Linked DNA regions of Tamandua tetradactyla. The protein of the gene in region 2 interacts with the protein of the main gene of each other region in a pairwise test. Links are inferred from orthologs where the notes say so. Each region holds a gene or a part of one and is shown on either strand. Other genes may lie near its edges.

Evidence for each region.
Region 1: the proteins of SMAD4 (region 2) and ATF7IP interact in a two-hybrid assay, tested with the Homo sapiens proteins (2 studies listed by BioGRID and IntAct). The link is inferred for Tamandua tetradactyla from reciprocal best matches to the Homo sapiens genes SMAD4 and ATF7IP.
Region 3: the proteins of SMAD4 (region 2) and RASSF5 interact in binary tests that used the Homo sapiens proteins (3 or more experiments, as listed by UniProt). The link is inferred for Tamandua tetradactyla from reciprocal best matches to the Homo sapiens genes SMAD4 and RASSF5.
Region 4: the proteins of SMAD4 (region 2) and DCP1A interact in binary tests that used the Homo sapiens proteins (3 or more experiments, as listed by UniProt). The link is inferred for Tamandua tetradactyla from reciprocal best matches to the Homo sapiens genes SMAD4 and DCP1A.

What each region holds. Positions count from the first base shown.
Region 1 is NC_135333.1:76,973,609-76,980,562, reverse strand, and holds the start of ATF7IP (activating transcription factor 7-interacting protein 1), read right to left. Parts: upstream 3,013-6,954; 5' UTR 2,994-3,012; coding exon 2,818-2,993; intron 1-2,817. UniProt on the Homo sapiens protein: Recruiter that couples transcriptional factors to general transcription apparatus and thereby modulates transcription regulation and chromatin formation. Can both act as an activator or a repressor depending on the context.
Region 2 is NC_135344.1:31,637,160-31,644,759, reverse strand, and holds the start of SMAD4 (mothers against decapentaplegic homolog 4), read left to right. Parts: upstream 1-4,590; 5' UTR 4,591-5,014; exon of another isoform or gene 5,015-5,278; intron 5,279-7,600. UniProt on the Homo sapiens protein: In muscle physiology, plays a central role in the balance between atrophy and hypertrophy. When recruited by MSTN, promotes atrophy response via phosphorylated SMAD2/4.
Region 3 is NC_135330.1:64,233,934-64,241,264, forward strand, and holds the start of RASSF5 (ras association domain-containing protein 5), read left to right. Parts: upstream 1-4,319; 5' UTR 4,320-4,364; coding exon 4,365-4,821; intron 4,822-7,331. UniProt on the Homo sapiens protein: Potential tumor suppressor. Seems to be involved in lymphocyte adhesion by linking RAP1A activation upon T-cell receptor or chemokine stimulation to integrin activation.
Region 4 is NC_135341.1:32,330,444-32,337,827, forward strand, and holds the start of DCP1A (mRNA-decapping enzyme 1A), read left to right. Parts: upstream 1-4,363; 5' UTR 4,364-4,720; coding exon 4,721-4,960; intron 4,961-6,450; exon of another isoform or gene 6,451-6,571; intron 6,572-7,384. UniProt on the Homo sapiens protein: Necessary for the degradation of mRNAs, both in normal mRNA turnover and in nonsense-mediated mRNA decay. Removes the 7-methyl guanine cap structure from mRNA molecules, yielding a 5'-phosphorylated mRNA fragment and 7m-GDP.

The DNA.
Region 1 (6,954 bases), on a different chromosome or scaffold from region 2:
TGAGGGAGGAAAAAAAATTTAGAATTCTAGGAAAAAATAAGCCATATAGATGAACATTTAGTTGATCTCACAAAAGGTAATATTTTCTAGGCAGAGAAGCTCTGGAAGAAATCACAAAGGAAAAAACGCAGTATGTGTGATTACATAAAAACATAAAACTTTTGAATATGTAAAACCATAAAAAACTTAAAAGGTATTTGATCGGCAAAAAAAAATGCTAAAACAAATATGAAAAGCAAAGAACTAATATTCATAAATAGCTCTTATAAACAAGTAAGAAAACATTAACACCCACCATAGAAAAAGTAAAAAAAAAGAGCTAATTCACAAAATGAGAAAATGCATGGTTAAGGCATTAAAAAATTCAACTTTACTAGTTATCAAAGGAAAGCTGCTGAGCTATTTTTCATCCACCAAATTTGATGGTGGTATGAGAAATACTTTTCAAAAGACATTTAAATTTGCAACAATCTGGAAAATTATCTTACAAGCCTTTGAAATGGTAATTTCAAAGTAATAGTTTGAGCTATATAAGGATGTTCACTGTAGCATTACTTATAATACAGAAATGGACAAGACAAAATTTAACAAAAAAAAAAACACAAGGCCTAGCAAGTCACAGCACGTTCTTACTTGATATAGCAATATTACACAGCAACTCAAAATCATGTGTTTGAGGAATGTTTCATAATTTGGAAATATTTTCACAGTACAACATTATGTAGCCAATAAAAACATTTTAGAAGAACAATGACATGAAGAAATACTCACAATATAATATTAAGTTGAAAAAGCAGTAATAAAATTGTGATCCCAATGAAAAAATAATAGATCAATAAAAATTGACAGATTTATCAAGCCTGGAAAAGCAATTTCGCAAAAATCACTAAAACATTTAGAGTGCTTATTTCTCAATGTATTTCAGAAACATTCTATAATAAATAAAAAAAGGTCACATATTCAAATCATGATTTAAAGAAAAAAGTAAAATTTAATGGTTTATGGCTATGTTTAAAATTCACAAAACTAGAAAGATTTTAAACAACCCCAGTCACTTAGTATTCAGTAACTTGGTCTAATATTTATACAGGCTCCACATGTGTCTAAATTTTGTGGCATCATAACCACCAAACTAAAATTTCAGAATATGGTTACTAACAGGGTACTAAGGAACAGTGCATGGTTACACAGTTCATTAACCTTACTTTTTTTGTATTATATCTTTTTTTAAAAACATGACAGCAAAATTGTCCTCCCAATAGATTTTACATTGTACATTATGCTCTTCAGTGTTTTCAAGTGTCTCTTATGACTTTCAATATTAATTAAAAAACAATCATATGTATACTCAAGCTAAAGCCAAATTTGAAATATATAAACCAAAATATTTCATTTTTCTGTACATGCAAAGGGAACTATGCCCTAAGACCAAAGTTCTTTTAACCTAAATATGTATCTACATATCCATACACACACAGATGTTTTTTCAAATGACATATTTGCAACATTAAACTATCAGAAATAAGTGTTTATCCTGGATTTGTTCGTGTGTGTGTGTGTGTGTGTGTGTCTGTGCGCGCGTTCTTGGGTGGGGGGAAGGGGAGTGTTGGGTAACCACCCCAGAAGAATAAAGGGACAAGATTACACAACTGCCCTCGAAAGACATTTCTGCATAGAAGACTTCAGAGTTGAAGGAATTAAATTTGAAACATACTAAAGATTTTGATGAGAAAAAAAAATGTTTCCTATCACTCTATCTCTGGTGACATCATTTAAATATCCACCATTCAAAACTATCCTTTTCAATTAAATCTAGTTAATAGTTACCAAGGAGGTTGATTTAAGGCAATAAAAACGTTCCCAAACTGACCATGATTATAAAACACTGCCACTTCTTCACTGACAGAATGATTTAAATTTAGGGCTATATAATGCTAAACAAATTGTTATATATACAAACCACTGACAAAGTTTATGAAAATTGTTTTACAAGTTTTTAGCCTCATAAGAAATAATTTGCATAATGGGAAATCATATCAAATAACTTCACTCAGAGGAGTCATATACGACTTAAAATGAGACTATTTGAACTAAATAAATAATACATGAGCAATTATAACCACCTTTTTCAAGAAACTAAAATCAAGCACACTATTAAAAAAATTAAAACAATTGTATCTTCTACACATTAACATGGGAGTTATTAACAATCAACTAAGTTTTACTGGTGGTTACTTGTTTTCCTCACAAAGACTTCAGTGTAGTTGGGACTTTGTGGAACTCTTTATCAGAACAATTGACCAAGTATTATACTTCACTGTGAAGTATAATTTTCATACTGACAAATAAAATAAGAAAGATTTTTAAAAGAATAACAATAATAAGCTAACCAAAATTAAGTATTTCAGAAATAAACAAGTGATCGAAGACTGAAAAAATGTGAAATTCACATTTAAGTAGGTTCAGAGACACATAAACTTATAAAAATTAAAACTTAGTTAAGATTAAAAAAAAAAACGAGGTTTCTTTTAAAACTACATTGTATGTTCTTTCACTGCTTCCCAGGTTCCCCCTATTAGTTTCAAAACACAAATTGTTTCTATTCTGCAAACATTCCACACAACCATGATAGAACTGGTAAAAATAGGGTTAAATATTTGCTAATATGCAATTCAAATACATGCACTTCCCAGGAAAACACTATTAGATGCAAGAAACTGATCGTTAACTTCCTAATAAAACATGAATTCAGCAACACCCAAAAAAAATGAAATTATAATCGAGAACCACAAGTCACACAGTTTTACAGAAAATCACCTCCACAGCTTCTCAGAGAATCGGAGAAATTGAGGAGAGCTTGAAGTCGGTAAAGAAATAAGATATAAAATAAAGGTCTTCCATGAAAAATATGGAAATTTGGAGGCAACAGAATGAAACCCCTGAAAAATATGGAAAAATAAATCTAGAACCCAAATGGCGCCCAATAAGAACATTAGATCTTGAAAATGAATATTGCGCTTGCGCAGCCACCGCCCCGCCAAGCTGCACAACTGCAGCTAGAGCCCTACCCCCGCAAGATCACGTGCTCCCATGCAGCGCCCGTCCGCAACTCCGCAACCGCGCAGGCGCAAACACAACTCCAGCAGCCGCCATAATGCGGTCTTTACTCTTCAGAAATACAATAGAAATTCAAGAAAATGTGGTCATAAGAGCCCCTGGGATTCACATATACCTTTTGGGGCGGGAGTTGAGGGAGGGGGAACCAAATTCCTTCTGACAGAGCCGTCCCGCGCCGCCGTCCCGAACGTTGCCGCCTCAGTCTCGCGCGCCTCAGCCGCCGGGCCGCCGCTGCTGCCGCCGCCTCCGCAGATTCAAAAACAAACCCGCTTCTCTCTTGCACGCGCCGGGGCCGTTATGCAAATTAATGTAGGCGGGTCTCCGTGCGCGTGTGTTGACCACGCCCATTAGGCTATCAACCAATAGGCTTACGGACTGGCCGTTCCCCATGCAAATATCCTGGGTTTTTATTTGAATGAGGAAATTTGGCCCCGCCTCCTACCGTGGAAACCAGAAGGAAGTATGAGGTGGTGGCGCTGCGACTTTTAGTTGCAGCGTGAGGTGTATTTCTGAGTGGACCTTTGTACAATCAGTGAGTAAAGCACTTTGTGAGCGCCCTCTATGAGGCATAGGAAAGAAAAAAGGAAGTGGATATGTGAGAGTTGAAGAACTAAGAAAACATTTTCAAAAAAGGAAGCTGAATATATTTAGTTCTTTTCTGTTTTTAATTCACAAAACATACTTTGAACTGTATTAGTAATGAGGAAATGGAGACAAGATATCTTTTCTTTCAGTTTTCTGTGACACAGCGAGCATTTCCGATCATATCCTTCCACCAAAATTTGTGTCCATCGCATTCAATTTTACCTTGGTAATGAACATTCACTTGAAGACCACAAGGTGTAGAGAGGGCACTACCCTACTAATTGGGAGATCTGGGCTCACATCATGTTTCTACTTCTTACTTACCTGTTGGCTGGAATAAGTGTTTTACTCAGTTTTCTCATCTGTAAAGTGGAAATATTGCCTGTGGTTCAAGTTGGTTGAGAGGGTCAACTGATGAGATAAGTAGTATAAATGTGTTTTGCAAAGGAGGAGGAGCCTTATCAGTTCCTAAGATTTGGTGGTGGTTTTTTTTTTAAGGAATTTCTCCCTTAATCTATCTATTCACTGTTTATTTAGCAATCACCCCACTCTTCTCCACCCCACTCTTCTCCAGAAATATGTTAGATGCTGGAATTAAACAGTGAGTATGACACTGTTCCTTTTCTCAAGAATTTTATACTCTAGTGGAAGAGATGGAAAACTAAAAAGAAAAATGTTCTAAGTAATACAAGATTAGCACAGGGTGTTTAATATTTTTATAACTTGAGACTTTCAACTGGTTTGAAACACAGAATAGCTTTTAAAAGGATTACCTAATCCAGACTTCAGGAATCATAACAGCCTTCCTTCTTCCTCCTTATGTGAGAGAATCTCACATCAGAGGTGATTTAATAAATTTCTTTATCAAAACCTGTACCTTATCCTGAAGCCAATAAGGAATCTCTTAAAAGAGTTTGTCAGGAAATGACATGATTAGATTTGCATTCATTAATTACTAAACTTTGTAAATATTCAGCACAGAACATAGTATTTAAGAGTGCTCAAGTGATAAATAGGTATTCAATTATAATAAAATTTTGGCATAATTTATTTAGTACATAGATGCTCAAATTATAAAATATATGCTCAGTAAATTAAAATATTAGTATAAATATTAAAAGTTCCATTCTATAGGGCAGGCCATGATGGCTCAGCAGGCAGAGTTCTGGCCTGCCATGCCAGAGACCCAGGTTCAATTCTCAGTGACTGCCCATGCAAAAAAAAAAAAAAGAGTTCCATTCTATAACAATAGAGATGGGATTGGAATAATCAAACCCATTAGGTTTCTCTTTATATTTCTTTAATAAGCAAATAAACGGAATCTCTGAATTGTGCTAATGGAAAAGAGTAAATAGTTTAGCATTAATTCACTGATCAGTTGTCTTAGATAACGTCACATTCTATGTTTGTCTCCCAATACCTAGTTTTATTTTATTTGAATCTTGCCAGATATCCCTAATCACACATTTTTACAAACAGTCTCTTTGGCCACTTTGCCTGTTTATTTTATCTAACTAATCTAACTGATTCATTCAACACGCATACTATTTATACTGCATTCAGATACTGTTACACACACTGGAGATGCCCAAAGGAAATAACACTGCCTCTGCCATTGGTCTATAAGTGTAAGAATCATATATAGAGATAAATATGAGAACTTTACTACTAGGAAGATATATACCAAGTATAAAAGAAATATAAAAGAAGAGCACCCAAATCTTCCTTATTATGTGGAAAAACTTCACAGAGATGTAACTTGATCTGACTAATCATGCAGAATTTAAAGTCTGACTGTCAAACTAGCTACAAAAGAAAGAGAATTCAGGTTAGATAAAACAGAAAACACAAAGAATAAATAGGGGTTGGATTCAACTTCTAGGAGAAATAGTATTCAAAATGTTTATTAGTCCCTATGGCACTAGGCACTTATCAATCAGAATGAAAGCAGGCATGAAGACCCCTTATTTTATCAAATATTAATCCTTTAATTGCTGAATTATGTGGAAATAAAGGAGTCATGAGCTAGGAACTGAGGGGCATTCAGAGTTAGGACAATGTTTTAGTTTCTTAGGCTGCTCCAGCAAATACCATGAAATGGTTTGGCTTACATAAAAGAAATTTATTCTCTTACAGTTTTGATGCTAAGAAAATGTCCAAATAAAGGCAGCATCAGGGTGATGCATTTGTCCCAAAGACCTGCTGCTGCCGATTCTTGGCTCCTCTGCCACATGGTAAGGTACAAAGCATTGTCAATTCATCTCTCTCCTCTCTTCTGGGTTTTGTTGATTTCTTTTCTTGCTTCCATGGCTTTCTCCCTCTGTCAGAGTTTCATTCCACTTATAAAGGACTCCAGTAACAGGATTAAGACCCACCCTGATTGAGGTAGGTCACACCTCAGCTGAAGTCACGTCAACAAAAGATCCTACTTACAATGCATTCACACCCACAGGGATAGATTAATTTTGGGGGGGGTACATACAGCTGCAAACTAACTCTGGCACCTATTTACTAATCAGACCAAAGTATTTCCACATTTTATCCATGTATAGCCTTATTGGTTCATACTAACATTCTTCTTAAATAATATTGCTATAGTAAAGCAGATCAGATAATCTCACAAGAGAAAAGAAAAAAACAGTAAAAGAAAACCAAAAATAAAATAAATGAACTTCAATTGCAGCAATTGAAGAAGGAAAACAAAAAAGAATAGCCAAAGGAGAAAACTGAAATTTCTAAATACTTATAAAACATAGCATAAAGTAGTGATTAAGAAAATATGCTCTGAAACTAACTATATGAATTCAAATCCTGTATTTGCATCTTACTTGTTGTTTATATATCTCTATGCAATGCATCCCTATGTATGTAAGAATAAAATTAAATTTAGTTTTCACACAAAATGGCATGGAATGGGGGAAAACAAAATTTACTAAACAAAAGGCTGAAAAACCAGCCCAGACCAGTTCCACAGTTGGGAAGGGGGAAGGAGCCTCTTATGTATGCTTAATGATTGGCACCATTTCCTTATATGGGAAAAAAATGTGAGTTAGACCTCTCAGGTAGGTTGTAACCTTTGGAGTACCCAGACAATGAGAAAACAGAGGAGGGTGATTCCCGTGTTAGGCTTAGGTAATAAATGTTTCTGCCTCCTGTTGTTTGGCACACCAGCCACCACATTGCGGTTGTGTACCCCTTCTGGCAAGATCTTTAATAAATTATTTTCTTCTCCACAATCAGATGAACATTTAT
Region 2 (7,600 bases):
TACACCATATCAACAAATCAAAGCAGAAAAATCACATGATCATCTCAATTGATGCAGAGAAGGCATTTGACAAGATTCAACATCCTTTCCTGTTGAAAACACTTCAAAGGATAGGAATACAAGGGAACTTCCTTAAAATGATAGAGGGTATATATGAAAAACCCACAGCTAATATCATCCTCAATGGGGAAAAATTGAAAACATTCCCCCGAAGATCTGGAACAAGACAAGGATGTCCACTATCACCACTATTATTCAACATTGTGTTGGAGGTTCTAGCCAGAGCAATTAGACAAGAAAAAGAAATACAAGGCATCAAAATTGGAAAGGAAGAAGTAAAACTATCACTGTTTGCAGACGATATGATACTATACGTCGAAAACCCGGAAAAACCCACAACAAAACTACTAGAGCTAATAAATGAGTACAGCAAAGTAGCAGGTTACAAGATCAACATTCAAAAATCTGTAGCATTTCTATACACTAGTAAGGAACAAGCTGAGGGGGAAATCAAGAAACGAATCCCATTTACAATTGCAACTAAAAGAATAAAATACCTAGGAATAAATTTAACTAAAGAGACAAAAAACCTATATAAAGAAAACTACAAAAAACTGTTAAAAGAAATCACAGAAGACCTAAATAGATGGAAGGGCATACCGTGTTCATGGATTGGAAGACTAAATATAGTTAAGATGTCAATCCTACCTAAATTGATTTACAGATTCAATGCAATACCAATCAAAATCCCAACAACTTATTTTTCGGAAATAGAAAAACCAATAAGCAAATTTGTCTGGAAGGGCAGGGTGCCCAGAATTGCTAAAAACATCTTGAGGAAAAAAACGAAGCTGGAGGTCTCGTGCTGCCTGACTTTAAGGCATATTATGAAGCCACAGTGGTCAAAACAGCATGGTATTGGCATAAAGATAGATATATGGACCAATGGAATCGAATAGAGTGCTCAGATATAGACCCTCTCATCTATGGACATTTGATCTTTGATAAGGCAGTCAAGCCAACTCACCTGGGACAGAACAGTCTCTTCAATAAATGGTGCCTAGAGAACTGGATATCCATATGCAAAAGAATGAAATAAGACCCATATCTCACACCCTACACAAAAGTTAACTCAAAATGGATCAAAGATCTAAACATTAGGTCTAAGACCATAAAACAGTTAGAGGAAAATGTAGGGAGATATCTTATGAAACTTACAATTGGAGGCAGTTTTATGGACCTTAAACCTAAAGCAAGAGCACTGAAGAAATAAATAAATAAATGGGAGCTCCTCAAAATTAAACAATTTTGTGCATCAAAGAACTTCATCAATAAAGTAGAAAGACAGCCTACACAATGGGAAACAATATTTGGAAACGACATATCAGATAAAGGTCTAGGATCCAGAATTTATAAAGAGACTGTTCAACTCAACAACAAAAAGACAGCCAACCCAATTACAAAATGGGAAAAAGACTTGAACAGACACCTCTCAGAAGAGGAAATACAAATGGCCAAAAGGCACATGAAGAGATGCTCAGTGTCCCTGGCCATTAGAGAAATGCAAATCAAAACCACAATGAGATATCATTTCACACCCACCAGAATGGCCATTATCAACAAAACAGAAAATGACAAGTGCTGGAGAGGATGCGGTGAAAGAGGCACACTTGTCCACTGTTGGTGGGAATGTCAAATGGTGCAACCACTGTGGAAGGTAGTTTGGCGGTTCCTCAAAAAGCTGAATATAGAATTGCCATACGACCTGGCAATACCATTGCTGGGAATCTACTCAAAGGAATTAAGGGCAAAAACTCAAACGGACATTTGCACACCAATGTTTATAGCAGCGTTATTTACAATTGCAAAGAGATGGAAACAGCCAAAATGTCCATCAACAGACAAGTGGCTAAACAAACTGTGGTATATACATACGATGGAATATTATGCAGCTTTAAGACAGGATAAAATTATGAAGCATGTAATAACATTGATGGACCTAGAGAACATTATGCTGAGTGAGTCTAGCCAAAAACTAAAAGACAAATACCGTATGGTCCCAATGATGTGAATCGACATTCGAGAATAAACTTGGAATATGTCATTGGTAACAGAGTCCAGCAGGACTTAGAAACAGGGTAAGATAATGGGTAATTGGAGCTGATGGGATACAGACTGTGCAACAGGATTAGATACAAAAACTCAAAAATGGACAGCACAATAATACCTAATTGTAAAGTAATCATGTTAAAACACTGAATGAAGCTGCATCCGAGCTAAAAAAAAAAATGGAGGGGAATGAGTGTAACAATAAGGGGCTCTGGATAACAAAATTTAAAGCTGGAGTGAGACTTACAGGGAGGAGGAAGAGGGTGATCTGGGAGCAATGACAAGGACCAAGGACACCTACTGCAAGTCTAAGCCCTCTCTTTGAGGTTGATGGTTGAAAACACAATCAGCAGGACTTGATAAGGGAAAGGGATAACAGTGTCCTCAGGGGAAAGCTGAGTTGCCCTTGAGCAAGAATGTGAAGGGAACCTGAAGAGAAATAAGAGATTGAGTTTAGAGGAAACGTTATTTGCATAAATAGATTGTGTAGTAGACAGGTTCTGAAGTAGCCCTAGGATCCCTGTCTCCCGGTGTTCACGTCCTGGTAGTCCCCTCCTCTTGAATATGGTTGGGATCTGTGATGTGCTTTTGATGCCAAAGGTGACAGGATGTTTGTGATTATGTTTGTGTGATTATGCTACATAAAACTGTAAACTCTGTCTTGCCGAGAAACTCTTCCCTTTGTTGGCTTTAAACAAGCAAGCTGCCAAACTGTGCGCTTCCCTATGGAGAAGGCCACATGGTAAGGTACTGAAAGGCCCTCTAGCAGACAGCCAGTAAAGGACTGAGGTCCTCTGTCCTGCAGCCCATGAGGGACTGAATACTGCCAAAAGCATGTGACCTTGGAAGTGGGTCCTTTCTCCATGGAGCCTCAGATAAACACCAAGACCTGGTTGACACCTTGACTGCAACATTATAAAGGATGGGGCTAAGCTGTGCCTGGACTCCTGACCCATGGAAACTGTGAGACAATAAATGTATGCTGTTTTAACCTGCTAAATTTGTGGTAATACTGTTATATAGCAATAGATAACTAATACAGATGGGAATGGGAGAAGTTTAGTTATAGCAATGTTACTCAATTCTCTATACTCCTGAGGTGTACGTCTGAGAATCACAAATTGATCCATTACCAAATAATTTTTAATAATTTATAAGCTGACAACTTAGGTTTTCCTTCAATTTTGCTGACAGTGAAGAATTGGAAACCACCTGTCTTGCAAAGCAATTTAATATCAACTTATTAGGGTAGTTCACTTTCTCAGCATAGACACCAAGTTTTTGAACTCTCTTTTTGAATTGCCCTGGCGACTTTTACATCTTGGGTCATGCACCCTAGTAATGTGTGAGTTTGACTTTCTTTTGTAAGGTAGAAAGACAATTTTTAAATGGAATGCTGTGCCTTCTAGGGCTGAACAATTTTTGAGAAGAGTACAGAATGTAGTGGAAGAGTCTGGAAATGAATATCCTTAAAACTGGCCTTGGGACGTCTTCATGAACCCCCAGGTGTATGAAAACGCCAGTATGAAGACATTTGTTTAAGGGGCTTTCTCGTAGAAGAGGGAAGAGCCTGTGGTTTGATGGAGAGGACACAACCTGGCTCTGAGTGGTGCGAAGGTCAGGAGGAGTGGAGTTCCTGCGGGATAAGGCCTAAGAAAGGACTTCAGAACTTTCTAATTGTTAGTCTTGGTGTGACGTCCAATGAGAAGTGGTTCGGAGTTCATGGAAAAAAAATGCCTATGTACATCAGACAGTGTGCTGATACTTTTTAAATTACAAGAGAAATGTCTCGTGAAAATTCAAAAAGTATGGAATGAACAGCAGAGTTTATGTCTTTCCTCAGCCAACAAGTAACTCAGTTAGTGGTGTTGTATGACATCGAAAGTCTCTTTCAACTCTGAGATTCCGCCTAAACTCTTCCAGTAAGAATCACTCACATTTCACAATACCTGGCAAGACTATCAAATATGATTCCTTGGTTAATGTCATGCGCATCTCCTTAACCCGGGGTGATCCAGGGCTGGTAGGAAGAGAAGGAAGGCCCGGTTACCGCCAGTCTCTTCCCGAATTAAATCAGTACAACTACCCTCTCCTCTGAGCTAGATTGGGCTTTTAAAATCTAATTTTTGCATCCACGTAGGTCCTAAAAGAAAAAAAAAATACTCCGCTGACCGCTGATCACAAACACTTAGACGCAAACTATTACGCCGATTCTGTAGGAATGCAGCCCCTTCTTCCATTCTGCTTGTGCACTTTTTGGAAAGGGATGCCAACTTCTTTGATGACCACTCTCTGCATGCAGCCTTTCCCCCACACCATCGTGAAACAACCCCCTCCGCCGGGGCCCAAGCAAGGGCCGGGACTCTCGGCTGTGCGCGGACCAGCACTACCCCGCGAGCGCCTGCGCAGAGCGACTCTACCCGTCACACAGGGCAGGAGGCGGGGGCACTGGGGAGAAGGGAAAGCTAAGGGGGAAAAGGGCCAAACCCTGAAATTACCCGGATGTGGTCCCTGCGCGCGCATGCTCAGTGTCCGTTCGACAAGTTGGCAGCAACAACACGGCCCTGGTCGTCGTCGCCGCTGCGGTAACGGAGCAGCTTGGGTGGAGAAGCCCCCGTTGGTGCCCGCCAGCTCTCTTCCTCGGGCCCTTCTCGCCCTCCCCTCGGCTCCGCGGCCGTCCGGAGGGCGGGAGCGGGTGAGGGGAGCCAGGCGTCCCGCAAGAGAGGCCCCCAGTCGCGGGGTGGCCCGGGAGCTCGAGCTGGTCCGGCCCGCACGGGCAGCGGTGCCGCGCCGAGAAGGGGGCGGACTGGCCCAGGCTCTCTGAGGCGGGGGCTGAGGAGCAGTCTGTATTGCTGGGGGAACAACGGCGGGAGAGCGGACTTCTCTCGCCACCACCCGAGCCCAGGTAACCGCGCCATGTCCCCTCCCCTTCCCCCGGCCAGGCCCGTGCGCCCCGCCCGCGGCTTCCCCGCCCCGGGGCGGGCTCCCGGCGGCAGCGGAGGCGGCGGGGAGCGCGCGGGAGGCCGGAGGTCTGCTGGGCAGAGCGAGCGAGCGCGGCCGCCTGCGGAGCTCAGTCGGGTCGGCGGCCCCTGCGCGTGTCGGGCTGGGCGCGGTGGCTCCAGTCCCTCGAGCTCGGGCCAGAGTTGGTCCTCCAGTCCCTAAGTCCCCTCTTAGTTAGGACGGGAATCAAGTTAAACTCGGAGGGGAAGGACTCCCGCTGCGGCCTTTGCTCCTCTTTGTTATTTAAGTAGTTTCACTGTTTGCCCCGGCAAAGCGCGTTGGGTTGGAGTGTGGACGGGGAGGAACCTTACCTTTAAATAAAAGTTGTAAATAGTTTTCCTTTTTTTTTGTCAAGCAAAAAAATTTTTCTCTTCATCCCTTTCTCTTCCTGATCGTGTCATTCTAGTTTACGTTTCTGGCTTTGTTTTGTTTACTTTTTGATATTGTGGGTGATGGCGGTATGCAGGAAACTGTTTTAGCACCTAATTGAACCGCCATTCCCGCCTTCAGTAAAAAATGTTTCCTAATAAAAGACGTAGTTTATCTTATTGCCAGGACTAAGTGTACAGATCGTGAAATTGGTGTAGCGTGGAGGGCGATGACTCCATCACAGGCCCTAAGCTGCTGTTTTTAATTCTCAAGCTAGATTTTAAAAGAAATGGGTGTTTTTTAGTTAACATGAAAGGTTTCTTTGCGGATATAGAGAGATTTTTTTAAAAACTCTGTTGAAAATGGATAGCTCTTTTCCCTTTGAAAACCCTAGTAAACCTTTTTAAAAAAAAATTAACACATGTTTAAAAAATGCAGTTTTATTAAGATACAGTCACACACCATACACACATCCGAAGTATACACTTGCTGGCTCACAGCATTATATAGTTGTGCATACATCCCATTATATGCACATATTTATCTAAAACTAATTTTGGAATTGGTTTAATTCTTTTAGATTTTGCCCCATAGTTTAGGCTTAAGTTGCCAGTTATTTAGTACTTATAATACAAAATATAGGTAATCATTTTATGTAGCCTGAATTGACTCCAAAGGCATGCGTTCTTGGCTGATTGAAAAAAAGTCTCGCTTGACTTTTTCGAGAATTAGCATCCTTTTAGTCTGTAGCCACTTGAATATTCGGTTAAGACGTCCGGTCAGTACTTGTGCAGGCAGAAACCATTTAGAGCCTTAAAAGGAAATGAAGAAATGCATACTTTTATAAAGAAATTAGATTTAGAACATTGCATTTCAATAAATTACCTTTGCCATATCGGGACTAGATATATTTTAGTTGAAATACAGCTTATGAAATTCTGAGGTGTAATTTTTATTTTTCTGCTGGAAAGCTCTGATATGGTTAATTCATAATACAATTAACATTTAAAAATATGGTTTCTCATCTGTGTTTCTTCCATAATGTGGTCATGATTTTATTTCCTTAAATGGGTTTGTTACAGAACAAATGTAATAGAGGGAGGCCAAACATTTATGACTTGGAGTAACTTTAGTTATTAAGGTGGTGATGAATTAGGTAGGTTTAAGTTATTGGAGTTAAAACTAAAAGCTTTTCTGGAGAAAATTGATAAAACATTTTGTGAGTCTATTAATAGAAGTGGCTTTTTCTTTGCTTTCTAGGTTTTTGGGTGGATTTGCTTTAAAGAGATAATGCATTTTAGTTTTTTTTATTTTTGAAGTGAAATTTGGTTTGAGTGACTTCATTGCAAATCTGTTTCAGACTTCATAAAAGTTTGTGCTGAGAAAGCCTGAATCAGTTTTATGTGATTCATTGACCTTTTATGATGGCTTTCCTCAAAGCCAGTCTGGTTATACTAAGAAGCAGCAAATCTAAAAACCTGTGCTTTACTTTCTTAAGCTGTACTGTAGTGGAGCTAGTTCTCTGTTTGGGTGTGAATTTTTTTGCATTCCCTTTCAAATTTCACCCCTCTTCTCTTAAATTAAAGAATAAATATTATAAACTGATGATTCTAGCAGTTACATTTCAGCTCTCTGGCTTGAAATGACTTTTTCTGATAGAGCCAGTGTTAAGGTAACATCACTAGACACCAGTGTCATTGGGCTGTGAATTGGTGAGATCTTTGCTAGCACAGTTAACTGTACAGGTTCTGCCGAGTCTGTTAAATTAAAAATACATATTTAGTCTTACCTAGTATTTTGCCTATATTGGTGAGAACATTTTATTATTTTTCTTATGTTTAAACTTTCAGTTCTAATTTGTTTCCCTATAGCTCTTGCCTCATGTGTTTTCTTCCCGTTTCCTGTTCAATGACGATTTTTTTTTTGTGTGAAACAACATATATTCAAAAAAGCAATATATTTCCAAGTACGTTTTAACAAGTAGTTATGGAGCAGATTTTAAAGTTTGGTATGGGTTACAGAACCTTGATTTTTCATTTTTTCTTCTAACTACTCCAAGACACTGGAGATCCAAAGAAATATCAGTATAATGATTCAGCAGTTATACTCATTTGTTAATCCT
Region 3 (7,331 bases), on a different chromosome or scaffold from region 2:
TCCTGTCATTTTCTATTCTATTTTAAAAATAAAATGCTTTGTTTTTCATCATAGTACTTATTATGACCTGACACTCTATCACACTCATGTCTGCCTGTGGTCTGGCTCTCCCACTAAAATGTAAGCTTCATGAACATGCCCATTTCACCGTTGTATCTTCAGCGCCTAGAGCAGTGCCTGGTACACAGTGGATATTAGAGAATTAGGGAGCATGACAAAAAGTTGAAGAATTAAAATGTTTGTGACGGTCCCTTGTAAAATGCCAGAGAAAGGCATCGGCCACCAACTCTTGGCTTGAACGACTGCGCCACATTCTGTGAAATGGCCAGCATTCCCGTTTTATAGATGGAAAACTGAAGCTCAGAGAAGTCACGTGACTTGCACAAACAGGCATTAAAATCTGGCCTCAATAAATGAGTAAGTGTTCTATGCCCTTGAAAATGGCAGTGGTCATTAGTGCTGTTTGTCAAATATTTCCAATTCTTTCCTCATTCTGAGCATACTGTAGGATCACACTTCTTGTCCCCTTGGGGCCATTTATAGCTGGTTCTGGCTAATGAGCTGTGAGAGGAAATGGCTGAAGCTTTTGAAAGCTGGCATGGCATCCTCCGGGTTCTCTCGATCCCCTCGGGCATGGTGACTGGTGACATTAGACACGATGGCTGCTCCATCAGTCTGGGCCCCTGAGTGACTGATAAGCCAGGGTCCCCTCTCCAACCTACAAAGGACAGGTAGTGTGAATGAGAAAGACGTCTCTGTGTTTAAAGGCCCTGAGATTTGAGAGTTGTTCATTACTGCAGCATAACCAAACCTATCCTAATAGAGCTGGAAATCCTTTGTGCTACTCTCAGAACCACAGGGGATTCCCTAGATGCCTCGGGGATTTCAGAAGACATCAAATATCTCAAAGCCAAACAATAATAAAATTTCCCCCTCAGAAAGTCAGGTCATATTCTATCCTCCCCTGTTCCTTCCTACCAGGGAGATTTGTGGGGGATGGGGGGGGTGGGGGTGGGTCAACCCTTGGAAAGACTCACCCAATAGGGAAACCAACATGCTCCGGGACCACCTCTGAAGTGACTTTGCACACTGACCACACACTCAAAACCCTGCTGTCATAATCCTCCCCCTTGAGAAAAACTAACAGCAGCACACCCACGCTGCTGGGAGTGAGTCACAAGCAAAAAAGTCCGCAGCTCCAAGCCAAGAGGGTCTGCCACCACTGAGAAGAAACTCTCACTGGAGCTGTCAGCAGACGCTGAGGTCTTAGCCCATAGCCTGGATGGCCAAAGACCAATCCAAAAGTTTTAAAGTCCAGGCATCAGACGCTACCCCATGCAACATCCTGACTGCACAGAGAACTAGGGTTTACTCCATACTTCTTCCTTGGAAAGGAGGAGGGAGATATACTGTGTGTGTGTGTTTCTGTGTGTGTGTTGTGGGAGGGGGTGCTTTTTGGGAGGAGACTGGGGGCTGCATAGAAGGAACCAAATGCTGAGCAAGAAGCCTTGTGCTGAGGTGGCGGGGGGGGGGGGGGGGAGGCAACTACCTCCCCCGACCTCATTTTCTTGGCTCAAAGAGATGAACCTTAAGATAAACTTGATAAACTTTTTGGACTGGTTGCATGGAATTATGTTATCTCCATATTCATCTCTGTTCCCATCCCAGAAGTTAGGAGGGCTCTGAGCTGCCCAATCTCCCTCCCGCTTTCAGTGCTAAGAGCAGCCACCACCACTTCCCCAAATCAGAGCTGCAGCAATAAAACAAAAACTGGAGCAATTTCTCCGTACGGCTCACACAACTGGAAAGGGCTTTATGCCTGATTATCCAGATAGCCCTTAGCTTCCCAGGGCAAGAGGAGCCCCTTCTCCCCCATGAGCACTGCTCTCCCGGAAAACTATGGGGCTGGGCTTCCAAAACTATGCTGGGGAATTGGGGAGCAGGAGATGGTAACTGTTGGCAATATATCAAAAAGGCCATTTCAAAACTGATCTTCAAATGAACTCTTTGCTAGATCCCTGCTTTTTCTTGCCACCCGAAGCTGTCACCCAGAGTCCAAGCTGGGTCCAGACCCTGAACCTCACCCAGGCCAGTGCACTCCTGGGAGCCAGTGATCTCCCACCAGCTCTGGTGCCTGGAGAGATAGATGGATAACAGAGGGTGGAAACAGGCAAATATTTATATGCAACACATATTTCTGCAACAATTCCAAGAGACCTGCTTGCTGAAAAAGCGGGAGAGACAGGAATAAGAGACCACAAGGCAAATTGTATTTTTCCCTTTTACATATTCAGCAGAAACCATTCAGGAATTGCTCCCTTCTGGCTGTTCCACTGAACCGTTTACCTGCCTGGTGAGGAATCCATTCTCCCATCACCATCTTAGATCTAAAGCAATGGTTCTCAAGCTGGGGTCCTTGGATCAGTAGCATCAGCACTACCTGGGAAACTGTTAAAAATACAAAATCTCAAACCCCAGCCCCACATCTGATGACTCAAAAAACTAGGGCTGAGGCCAGTGATCTGTGATTTAACAAACCCTCCGGCTGATCGTGATGCATGCTGAAGTTTGGAAACCACTGATGTAGAGAAAGTACTGTTCAAACAAGGGAGAGGAAAGGTGGAGGATTGTGGTGCACGGTCCCCTAGCTCAGCTGCCTTCTGCCTTGTAGCACTGGGGATTGGCTGCTGTGGAGCCATGAAACAAAGCAGGCTGGGAATTTCCTAGGCATTAGGCTCTAGAATTTTTAGGAATTACCTAAAATTTACCTCCAAGGGGGGAAAACAAAAGGTGAAGATTCCCCTACTGGACACTAGGGGGAGACCCCTCTCTGGTCTGGGAGAAGGAGGGGAAGTCTCAGGTCTAGCAGGATTCAGACTATTCCCCAAGTTGGTTGCTGGTGACCGCTGCTAAATCAACCAACCCAACCCCATGCTTTAAGAGGAAAGTTGTGGTCATTATGTCAGAGTGTGGGAACCCGAGAGGACAGCAAGCCTGGCTCCTCACTCCCAACGCAATTTGCAGTTCAAACTGGGGCTAGAGACAGCCAGGATACACAGGTATGTGCCAGGCTACATAGGTTGGATTCAAAGACCCAGGAGTCCCCACTCAATCTCAGTTTCCCCACCCAGGAGACAGACCTGGTGCTATTCTTTCCCACACTAAATAGGGCAAAGGTACTGGTCAGGCCCAGCTACATTATTTGCAGGGCCCAGTGCCAAAACGAAATGTGGTACCTTCGTTTAAAAATTAAGAATTTCAAAATGGTGACAGTGGAGTATCAAACGAGGCAGGGGTGGAGGTAGAGCCGGGTGGGGGGACGCAGTAGTCTATCCTGATCCTGGTAGAAAAGGGTCTCTTTGGGTCCCACAGAACTGTCCATACCTGGTGCAAAGTAAGGCTATTTGGGGGTTGGGGTGGGGGTGGGGGTGTCGGATCTCCAAAGTAATTACTCGAACAGCTGGGAGAAAGGAGCCTTTGACTTAGGTAGAAAAAGTCCCTCAGCCTACAGGGTGCGAGGGCGTTCTCACACTCCAGGGCCCTCTACCAGTATAACTCCAGTCTTACGGGAAAGAGGAATCTCCAATCCCGCAAGGCTGCGGAGGAAGGGGAAACCCGAGAGAGAGTGAAAGCCGCGCGCGCACAGTCGGCTGCGCCTCGCAGGCGGCCGGGGTGCACAGCCTGGGAGCGTCCCCCGAAGCGCGCGTCCCTCCGCGTCACGGGACTCGGCGCTGCTCTGCGGGGACGCCACCGCGGCGCACACGCACTCCCCCGCCCAGACCCGGCTTCGCAAACCAGCTGAAGGCGACGAGGGAAGGAAGCACTGTTAGGGAGCACATTCCTCCAATCGGCCTGAAATTGGGGAGGGGGCGGCGGAGCCCCGGGACCTCCTCCTCCTTGGGTTCCATCCTCAACTAGTTCCTAAGCTCTTCCCTCCCATTTGGGCGTGCTGGGGTGCGGGTGTCGGGGAGGCGGGGGTGGGGGGTGGATCGGGTATTGGTAGAAGTGAAGGAAGAGGGAAAGAGGCAGGGCTGAAGGCAAAGAGACCCTACAGGAGGGCTTTTTCTGCATTGTACTGTACAGCAGCTTTGCTATCCTAAATCCCAGATGTTCAATAGACTTCCTGAAGGCGCCCCCTAAACCCACACTCATGCTCGGACAACCCCCACAGTACAACCTTACCACCCGGTCCGTCGGCCTTTCCCTCGTGTCGCCCTTCCTGCCTCCCTGAAGTCTCCCCGCCCCCGCCCCGCCCTGTCGGCTGCGGTCCCTTTAAAGGCGCGCTGGTGTGGGGCCGCCCCTTCTCTCGGGGCTGGCTCGGGAGCTGCGCCTCGCCGGGAGACAACCGCCGCCCCTAGCCGGGCATGGCCATGGCGTCCCCGGCCATCGGGCAGCGCCCCTACCCGCTCCTACTGGACCCCGAACCACCGCGCTATCTGCAGAGCCTGAGCGGCCCCGAGCCGCAGCCACAGCCCCCCGGCCGGTCGTCGCGCCGCTGCGCCCGCGCGCCCCTCTCCGCTGCGCCCGGGGCGCACGATGGGCGCGGCGCCCGGAGGACTTCCCGGGAGGACCCGGAGCCCCAACCCCGGGCTTCCCGACCCCCTCGCCCTGTCCGGCCGGGTCTGCAACAGAGACTGCGGCGGCGGCCCGGAGCGCCCCGGCCCCGCGATGTGCGGAGCATCTTCGAGCAGCCACAGGACCCCCGCGTCCCGGCGGAACGAGGCGAGGGACACTGCTTCGCGGAACTAGCGCTGCGGGCGGGCCCGGGCTGGTGCGACCTGTGCGGACGCGAGGTGCTGCGGCAGGCGCAGCGCTGCGCTAGTGAGTGTGGGGGCCGGGCAGGGGAGGGGCGCGCGCAAGACCGCAGTCCAGGGGCGAGGGACTGCGACAGGGCTGGGAGAGAGGCGGCATTGCCCTCTCTAACTCCAGGACAGGCCCAGACTTTAGGGGAAATAGTCCTTGGAGACAGTCTGCTCCTTCGTCCCCTACCCCGTATCCGTGACGACTGTCACTGCCCAGGGATGGCTGTGCGGTAGGCATTCTACCAATACCCCTTGCCTGACCAGTGCACGCCTTCACCTCCCCACATGCGCTCAGGCTGGGATTGATAACCACAAGGTCATTCCTTGTCTTCCATGCCCCCCGCATGTTTTTATCGTAGGATCTCACTCTGACCTTGGGAGGAAGGGCAAGACCAATATTGAGATGGCCATTTGACTCTTGCTTATTAGTGAAAATGGCAAAATGGTTTGTTTGTCCACCTACGGTGTGGGCCCAAACCCCTCCTCCAGGGGGACCTGTTGAGTCCTGGCTGAGGCCATGCCTGGGAAGGAGCTGTGGGTTGAAGGGAGGCTGAGGTCACCCTGCACCTGTGCCCCTGCCTGCCTTCCACATCTGGCCACTCAGACCTTTGGACTCAGCTCTCATGTTTGGCTGTGCCCTGCCTCCTCCTCTTCTTCCTAGGCTCCTACATCAGTGGTTGGTCTTTAAAATTACCCAACTCCCGGTGGGGTCCCTCCCTCCCCAGCTCAGTCCCCTGCAGCCTTCTCCTGAGCCAGGCTCTTCTCAAACCTGACTGTAAAGCACTGGGCACCCAGCATGTAGATTTTCTGAGCAAATCTACAGTCTTCCTGAAAGATTATTATTTTTTCTTACTACAATTAGGCATGTATATTCCTTTAACTGTGTCATCCGTGCCCCCTCCCTCCTCTGTCTTTCTCCCATATTTGTTGTTGCCGTGTTTGGCAGAGGATACCCAGAGGCGTGTGTTTATGTGTTTGTATAGGTATTTCAAATATCTGAAGCACAGATAATGGCACAACCTCCAAAAAGCATTTCTTGAAATGGTCATGTTTGCATCCTTCTGCAGCGGCCTTCCCCCTGCGACAGCAGCTCTGCATCTCTCCTCTGACTGCAGTGACTTCCACATCAGGAGGCCCCTACCTTTCCTCTCTGCAGGCCACAGCCAAGGCTGGGCATGTGCCTCCCACTGCAGCAGGCTGCGGGGAAGGGGAGCTCAGACTCTAAGCCGGGGCTAAGGGGGAGGTGGGAGATTGGAGGGGAAAGTCAGAACTCATAGTTCAGGTGCTGATTAAGCAAGAAACAGCAGAAATTCGAGAGTTGTGTGCTGTGGGTGTTGAGGACACATGTGGAAGGCTGCTGTCACTTGGTAAATGCCCCTGACCTTACAGAAGAATCCAGAACAACTTGCCCAGGGATGTGTTGGCTGCTTTTGCCCTTTCTAAGTTCCTGATCCACCAACCAATACACAGGGGAGAGGCAGAATCCTCACTAAAATGGGTTTTATTGTTCTGGAATCCCAGGAAATCTGCTTCATTGGAATTCCAGTTTGTATTGACTTTTGGAGACTACATCAGCTGTTGAACATTTTGCACGTTTTGATTTTTTTTTTGGTTTGGGTTCTTAAGAGTCAGAGGTATATTTGCATATGTTTGTATGTGCATATGCAGAGTACTCAGCATGAATTTATCCCCACTTCATGCTAGAGTTGTTTATTTCCTTTGCTTAGTTCCTAAATACCTTCTAGTGGCAAGAGAGTTGAATCTCCCAAGACCCAGGTTCACGTGGCAGTTCCTTTGACTTTATGGGACTTGGCCCACTTTCCTGAGTGCCAGCTCCCCCCTTGCATCACTGCTTTAATACCCTGCTCCCCAGGCCCAGGGATGGTTGACCACCGGAGAGGGAGCAGAGCTGGAATCAGGAAGCCACAGGGAGGAGTCTCGTTATTAATACTTAACTAATTGTGAACCTGTGGCTGGCTGGGAACGGTTGAGAAATATTCTGATGTGCGAATGAGGGCTGGCAAGTGGAGTCACAACAAATCAAACTCACTGAGTATCTTTAAGTTGAAGGTCTAGTTCTGTAATGGGTTTGATTTGTTTTATCTTTATTTTGAAAAGCAAGGGCCAGAGATATGACTTTAAAAAGCCAGGGCCTATGCCGTGATTAAGAGCACAGGCTGGGACCAGAGGGCCTGGGTTGGAATCCTGCTTCTGTATCTGTGTGACCCTGGGCATCTCTGAGTCTCAGTTTCCTTCTTTACAAAATGGGGAACATAATATTACTTACTTCATCAGGTTAAGGTGAGGCTTAAATGAGTTAATATACACATATATGTCAAGTGATGGAATAGTCCCTAGCAAAATGCTTTGTAAATGTTGGATGCTGTTATTTCTAGCCCGCTCCCATCTGACAGCTATGCAACAATTAGTTGGAGCTCTTGACACCATCTAGTGTCACCTTGGCAAGCAACGAGTACAGTTTTCAAACTCTGGTTTCCTGGGCTTAGGGAGGTAGCGAGTGAGCGTACC
Region 4 (7,384 bases), on a different chromosome or scaffold from region 2:
ATTTGGAAGAAAACACTGATCACCTGACTTGAATTCCACTGTCCTTTTCACTAGACTCCATAGTTTTAAATGGCAAGTTTTATTTCTTACCACAAAGCCTCCCAGAGTGGCAGAGAAGAAGTGGATTGATTGGCTTTTTAGGCTATCATTTTTATAACTATTTTTAATTTTAAAAAACATGAACATACATGGTACACAACTCAAAAGTGACCAAGGGTTATTCACTGCAGAGTAAACCTCCCTCCACATCTGACCCTAGCCATCCACTTCCTCTCCCCTTCCTCAACTCTCTTGCATGGATTTAAAGGAGTTGGGTTTTAAGACAAAATTCATTCAGTGAATTTACTGAGGGTCTACTTTATGTGATAGGTGCTGGAGACCTAACAGGCGAAAATACAGTCTTTGCCTTCTCAGAGCTAATTGTCTAAAAGACACAAGAAAGACCTTAAGGCCCAATTCACAAACATAAGGCAAAATTAGGCCTCAAGGTAAATGAGGATGGTTTTCAATTCCAAAATATTCACTTCGTCTTTAATATATCTAAGAGCTACAGCAGTAAAGGGCATGAAAGTCAATATTAACATGTTCGGGGCCATGCAAACATGCTTTGTGAAGTGACTTTTTATTCAAAATATGAAAACCCCCTAAAATAGCTGGGTATTCTTCACTAGTCTAACACAACCAAAAATAGTAAATAAAAAGAAAATGTCATATTTTAAGAAATTCGTGTGAGAAAAAAAGTATTCTGTTTCAGATATGCCTTTTGAAATTTGTACCAGTGAATGTATTACCTATTCAAAAAATACACATTTGTAAAAAAATAGGATACAGATTCGTGAAACCCTTGATTGAAGGCAGGTAAAAGGGTATAGGGCAACTGCTTCTTGTCACTGTGAGGAAGAAAGGCAACTTGGGAGTAGCGGAAAGGAACCTAGGGTAGAAGGCAGGGGCCCTGAGATTCTATCACTGGATGCCTTCTGATTAGTGTGTCACTTTGAGCCAATGATTTCTCCTCTAGGGCCTCAATTAAATAATCTGTCAGTCATTATGCTGAGTGAGATTAGCCAGAAACAAAAGGACAAATACTGTATGGTCTCACAGATATGAACTGACATTAATGAATGAACTTGAAGAATTTCAGTTAAGAGCAGAGGTCACTAGGAGCTAGAAACAGGATAGATGTTGGGTAACTGGAGCTGAAGGGATACAGACTGTGCAACAGGACTGATTGTAAAAATTCAGAAATGGATAGCACAATACTACCTGATCGAAGCACAATAATGTTAGTACACTGAATGAAGCTGAATGTGAGAATGATAGAGGGAGAAGGGCTGGGGGCACAAATGAAACCAGAAGGAAAGATACACGATAAAAACTGAGATGGTATAATCTAGGAATACCTAGAGTGTATAATGATAGTGACTAAATGTACAAATTTTAAAAAGTTTTTGCATGAGGAAGAACAAAGGAATGTCAATATTGCAGGGTACTGAAAATAGGTGGTCATTCATATTTTAAAACTTCAACTTCTGTGTAAGACTAAAGCAAAAAAATGTTTATTTGGTACAAAATTTATATTTTGACTAGCACATTTCCTAATATAACCTATATAGACAGGTTAATTGAACACCATAAGTACATGGAACCTTGAATAGGGCATGAGATTTTGTAGGTTTGTCCAATGTGATGCCCCAAGAAATTACAGAGTAATTTAACAGTGAATAAAAAAGTACTTGCGAAGTCCCCTTGGGGGAATGGTGAGAAAGAGCAGAAATTCAACTTCCCCATTTGGAGAATTCCTGATATTGTCGCAAGCAGTCGGGACAACCAAATCAATAGGCTGAGTCCTCAATCTTGGGGTCTGTTCATATGAAGCTTATCCCCACAAAGGATAGGCTAAACCTACTTAAAATTAGGCCTAGGAGTCACCCCCAGAGAACCTCTTTTGTTGCTCAGATGTGGCTTCTCTCTCGCAACCAACATGGCAAGCAAACTCACTGCCCTCCCCGTCTCTACCTAGGGCATAACTCCCAGGGGTGTAAACCTTCCTGGCAACGTGGGAAAGAAATCCTAGAATGAGCTGAGACTCAGCATCAAGGGATTGAGAAAACCTTCCCGACCAAAAGGGGGAAGAGAGAAATGAGACAAAATAAAGGGTCAGTGGCTGAGAGATTTCAGAGTCAAGAGGTTATCCTGGAGGTTATTCTTACACATTATATAGATATCCCAATCTAATTTAAGGTGTATTACAGAGGCTAGAGGGAAGTGCCTGAAACTGCAGAGCTGTGTTCCAGTAGCCATGTCTTAAAGATGATTGTATAATGATAGAGCTTTCACAATGTGGCTATGTGATGGTGAAAACCTGTGTCTAAAGCTCCTTTTATCTATGGTATGGACAAATGAGTAAAAAATATGAATTAAAAATAAATAAATAATGGGAACAAATGTTAAAACTAATTGAGTTGATTGAAATACTAGTGATCAATGAAAGGGAGTGGTAAGGGGTTGTGCTGGTTTGAAAGGAAGCATGCCCCCTAAGAAAAAGCCATGTTTTAATACAAATCCCATTTCATAAAGGTAGAATAATCTCTATTCAATACTGTATGTTTGAAACTGTAATGAGATCATTGCCCTGGTTGATGTGATTTAGTCAAGAATGGTTGTTAAACTGGATTAGGGGATGACAGTCTCCACCCATTTGAGTGGGTCTTGATTGGTTTACTGGAGTCCTATAAAAGAGAAAACATTTTGGAGAAAGAGATTGAGAGAGAGCAGAGAATGCTGCAGCACCACAAAGCAGAGAGTCCACGAGCCATCGACCCTTGGAGATGAAGAAGGAAAATGCCTCCCAGGGAGCTTCATGAAACAGGAAGCCAGGAGAGAAAGTGGAGATTGATGCCTTGCTTGCCATGTGCCCTTCCAGCCAAGAGAGAAACTGACTGTGTTCGCCATGTGCCTTTCCAGATGAGAGAGAAACCCTGAACTTCATCGACCTTCTTGAACCAAGGTATCCTTCCCTGGATGCCTTTAATTGGTCATTTCTATAGACCTGTTTTAATTGGACATTTTCTCAGCCTTAGAACTATAAACTAGCAACTCATTAAATTTCCCTTGTTAAAAGCCATTCCATTTCTGTTATATTGCATTCCAGCAGCTAGCAAACTAGAACAGGGGTATAGAAAAAAAGTAGGGGGAACAAAGGTTAAAATATATTGGGTAGATGGAAATATTAGGGGTCAATGGAAGGGAGGAGTAAGGGGTATGATACTATGATTTTTTTCTTTTTTCTTCTTATTTCTGTTTCTGGAGTGATGCAAACGTTCTAAAAAATGATCATGGTGATGAATATACTACTATGTGATGGTATTGTGAGGCACTGATTGTACACCATGTATGGAATGTTTGTATGTTAAGAATGTTCGTGTTTGTACATTGTTTTGGCTTGTCAATTAAAAAAAATAAATAACACTAATAATCTGTCAGTGAGGATGACCACATTTTCCCCAACTCAGCACTGAGCTGTTAAATGAAATGAAAGGGAGTCCTTACCTTTCTTCACTGGCACTCCAATGCAAACATCATTTCTTCCATGAAGCCTTCTTATATTGCCAGGCTAGATGGAGTTAGTGGCTCCATCCTCTGTGTTTCAGAAAAGTCTCTAGCATTAATTATCCCTGTTTCCTTGCTTTGTTCTACTTCTTTCATTTCTCCCACACCCAGGAGGTTGTCAATAGACTTTGGAGCTCCCAAGGGAGCCAGTCCACAACTGGGAGTTCAATAAATACTTGCTTAATGAAGGGTGACTGAGCGATACTCTCCTTGGCCTCATCTGTGCTTCTTATATGATTTTGTACAGAATGTAAGACATAGAGCCTCTTTCGATTAATACATACTCCTAGGATGTAAAATCATAAACACATACATATTTTATAGTGTTATTTTAATGAAATTATGGATTTTTAAAATTTCGAATGTTTTGCTTAACTCTGTTAGCGTATCTTTTAAAATTTAAGAAAAAATGTTGCTTTTAAACAAGTCTGTGGGGACAAGAGCTCACTGTGGTCTCTGGACTTAGTTTTACTTTTTCACTATCAACAACATCTGCCTCTTTAAAATGCCTCAGAATTTTCAACAGATATTTGCCAAAACAATGAGTGGTATTTTTAATCCTTTTAAATGATGCACAACTCAGGCCTTCATGGGGCCCTTCCAGGACCGGATAGAAATATTTACGCGAGACTCAGACAAGAGAAAAGAGGAAGCGAAAGTGGGCAGCAATAAAAACGTCTATGAAGTTTCAGGTGAGTTACTTTTTTCAAATATCTCCTTCAGAAAACAGCAGATTGTAAACGGTGACGATCTGGTGAGATTTGGGGTAATTTTCGGGGTCTCCCGCGTCCCCTGTCTTTCGGTGCTTTCTAAACGTGTGGCGTCCCCCATTCTCGCTGCTGCGTCCCTCGCGCGAGAGCCGGAGGCGGGCTGGGGTGAGTCTCGGATCCCCTCCGGCAGGAACCCTGAAACGCGCAGGAACCCCGGATCTTGGTGCAGGGACGTTTATGCTCGCGGAAAAGAACCGCCCGGGAATCCGGCCGCGAGTTCAGACGCTGTACAGCGGACGTCGGTCGGGCTGGGCAGGGAGAACCTGAACATGCCGGAACCTGGCAGCCGAAGTGCGCGGGCAGCGGAACACAGTGATTGCACCCCGCAACACCACAATTAGATGCGGAAGTCGAAGGTACTGACGCACCTGGGGAACTTTGCCTCGATGGCACCTTCCGGTCCTCGACTCCGCCCCCACCGGAGGGGCTCGGCTCCGGGATTCAAGATGGAGTCGCTGAGTCGAGCTGGGCAGGAGATGAGCCTGGCGGCTCTGAAGCGACACGACCCCTATATCACCAGCATCGCAGACCTCACGGGACAGGTTGCTCTATACACCTTCTGCCCCAAGGCCAACCAGTGGGTGAGTGTAGTCCGGCCACGGAAAACGGCCGCTCGGCCGCCACCGACTCTTAAAGGGGCCGCGCGGGCCGCCATAGTGGTGGGGGGTCGAGGGGGTGCGATAAGGGAGGTGAGGGTGGCGTGAGCTAGGTCAGGGACTAGTGAAGTTCGCGATCGGAGCCGAAATCGTGTCAGGACCTCCTGGGGCTGTGGGGAGAGGAGCGAGGAAAGTAGGCCCAAGACATCCCGGGGAAAAGAAGCTGGAGGGAAGGGTTAGCGCAGGGTCGAGTTCCTTTGGGTCAGGGCCGGGGTCGTGGTCAGCCTGTCTTCTTTGAGGATGTGTGGGGTGATAGAAGACCAGTGGAATCAGAGGGGTACCTGAAAGCTTGTCTCTGAGGCTTTAAGGGATATTAAGTAATTTACGTATACTTGATACATAAACACCCCTTTCCTATTCACAACATGCAAAAATGGAAGTCCCCTCTGCAAAGGACATTTAGATTTAAAGCTTGAAATCCAGTTAGTTTCAATTCTTGGAAGAGGAGAGTAGGAGTGAGTCCGGATTTAATGCAACTATACTGTATTTCCAAAGTTTGGGGAAAGATTTCAAGACAAGAAAAGGGCTCCATGTTATCTGGGTCGCCTTGAGACTTTTGGAGCGCCTGTAAATATGTTTAGTTCCAGCTGTGAGATGCTGGTGATGTCACCTCTGAGTGCTCCTGTCAGATTAAGTACATTTTGACTTCTTTGTACGGGAGAAGGTCCGAAAGGTTGCATTCAATCTGTTAACTGACCTTTCTTCGCCTCTGCTTGAAGTTTGTAGTTTAATTATTTGTTTTCTTCTAATTGATCGACTCAGTTATAGACTTGAAACTTAGAAAAAGTTTGTGTTTCTTACAAACATCTGTAGCTGACATTCATATCTTCAAATAAAAATAAGACCCTACACTAACAAAAATCTGAAGGATTATCACTGTAATATGCCCCTTACAGTATAGTACTGCTGCATGGATTATAGTTACCAGTAATTTTGTGAAAATCATTTGGCAGTTGACAATTTTAAACAGTTAATTGGGAAGAAGAGAGTTTTCAAAATCTTGCTTTAGTTTATTTTATTTCATGCACCTTCTGGAAGGGATGGAGGTTGTTCTTTTTGCCTCAAAGAACAAAATTCTAGTCCCCCCCCCCCCCCAAGGAGTAGTTGTTGTAGACATTGCCTTAGTTTGAATTGTTGTGAATCATTTTTCTTTTCTTAGCCTGCGTATAAATTTGTGGTCGGGTGCAAATGTGAATCGTGGACAAATGGTGAAGACTTGGGGCTGGAATTTTTCATTAACGAACTTTTATTTCTAGTCTTCACAAAGATTTTCAGTACTTTGAAATTTTAATTGTGGATTTCTGTTTTAAATATGAAATACAAACTATAATAACCTGGATTTAAAAATAAGCTGCCATTGTTTATTGGAATCATGGCACACGGAATATAACCAAAATCTTTTCTTTGTTTACTAGTAGGTCGTAACTTGCACAATGGAGTAAATGAGCAAGTTTTCTTTTACTGTAAGACAGTAAAAAAAATCCTTGAGAAAATTCATGATGATTTAAGCTAGGACAAAACTGGAAAAAAATCAAGGTGATAAATTTTTTTATCCCAAAAAATTCAGTTTGGTGTGACTAATATGTAAAGTTTTTCTAATAATTTGTTGATTACATTAAAATATTTAATTTAACCTGCATTGTGAACTGCAGACTTATATGGTTATTTTTTGTTTAAACACTGTAACTGTGTTTAAAACCAAAATACACTCTTGTCCAAGCAAATGAAGATAGTAATGAGTTGTACTTCCTTAAAACATTTTCACTTTAAGCTAAAGAAAATTTTAGATTATTTGTTAGAGGTATAATTACATCATAGTCTCAATATTCATCATTGTTCAACAAAGTTCTAAGAATAGCAAACTGTGTTTCACAGTAATTCTTAACTAACCAGGAGATTTGTTGCTCATGAAAATATATCAAAATCTCCCAATAATGAAACAAAGTATCCTATAAACTAAAAAAGTTCTCTTTTTTTCTAGCTTTGATAAACTGTAAAAGTGAAGAACTCCTGTACACAGGACCTTGGCTTTAAGATGAAGAAATCTGGCTAAAATATTTTGGCTAAAATGTTTACCTAAAAAAATTATAGAAGTGAAAACTAATTCTATTATATTCTTCTTTAAAAGCTAAAAAAGAAAAAATGCTGCAGAAACAGACTTGTTGCTAGATGAACATTGCTTATTGCATCAATCACATTGAAAGAATACATACGAAACTGGTGACCGTATTTGGTGGAATGAGAAGGAGACTTATTTCACTTGTCCAAAAGTGGTTAATTTTTTAATAAATAAAGTAGTTTATCTGAAACATGAAGTGTTGCTTCCCTGTTGGGGCTCTTTGGGGTTGG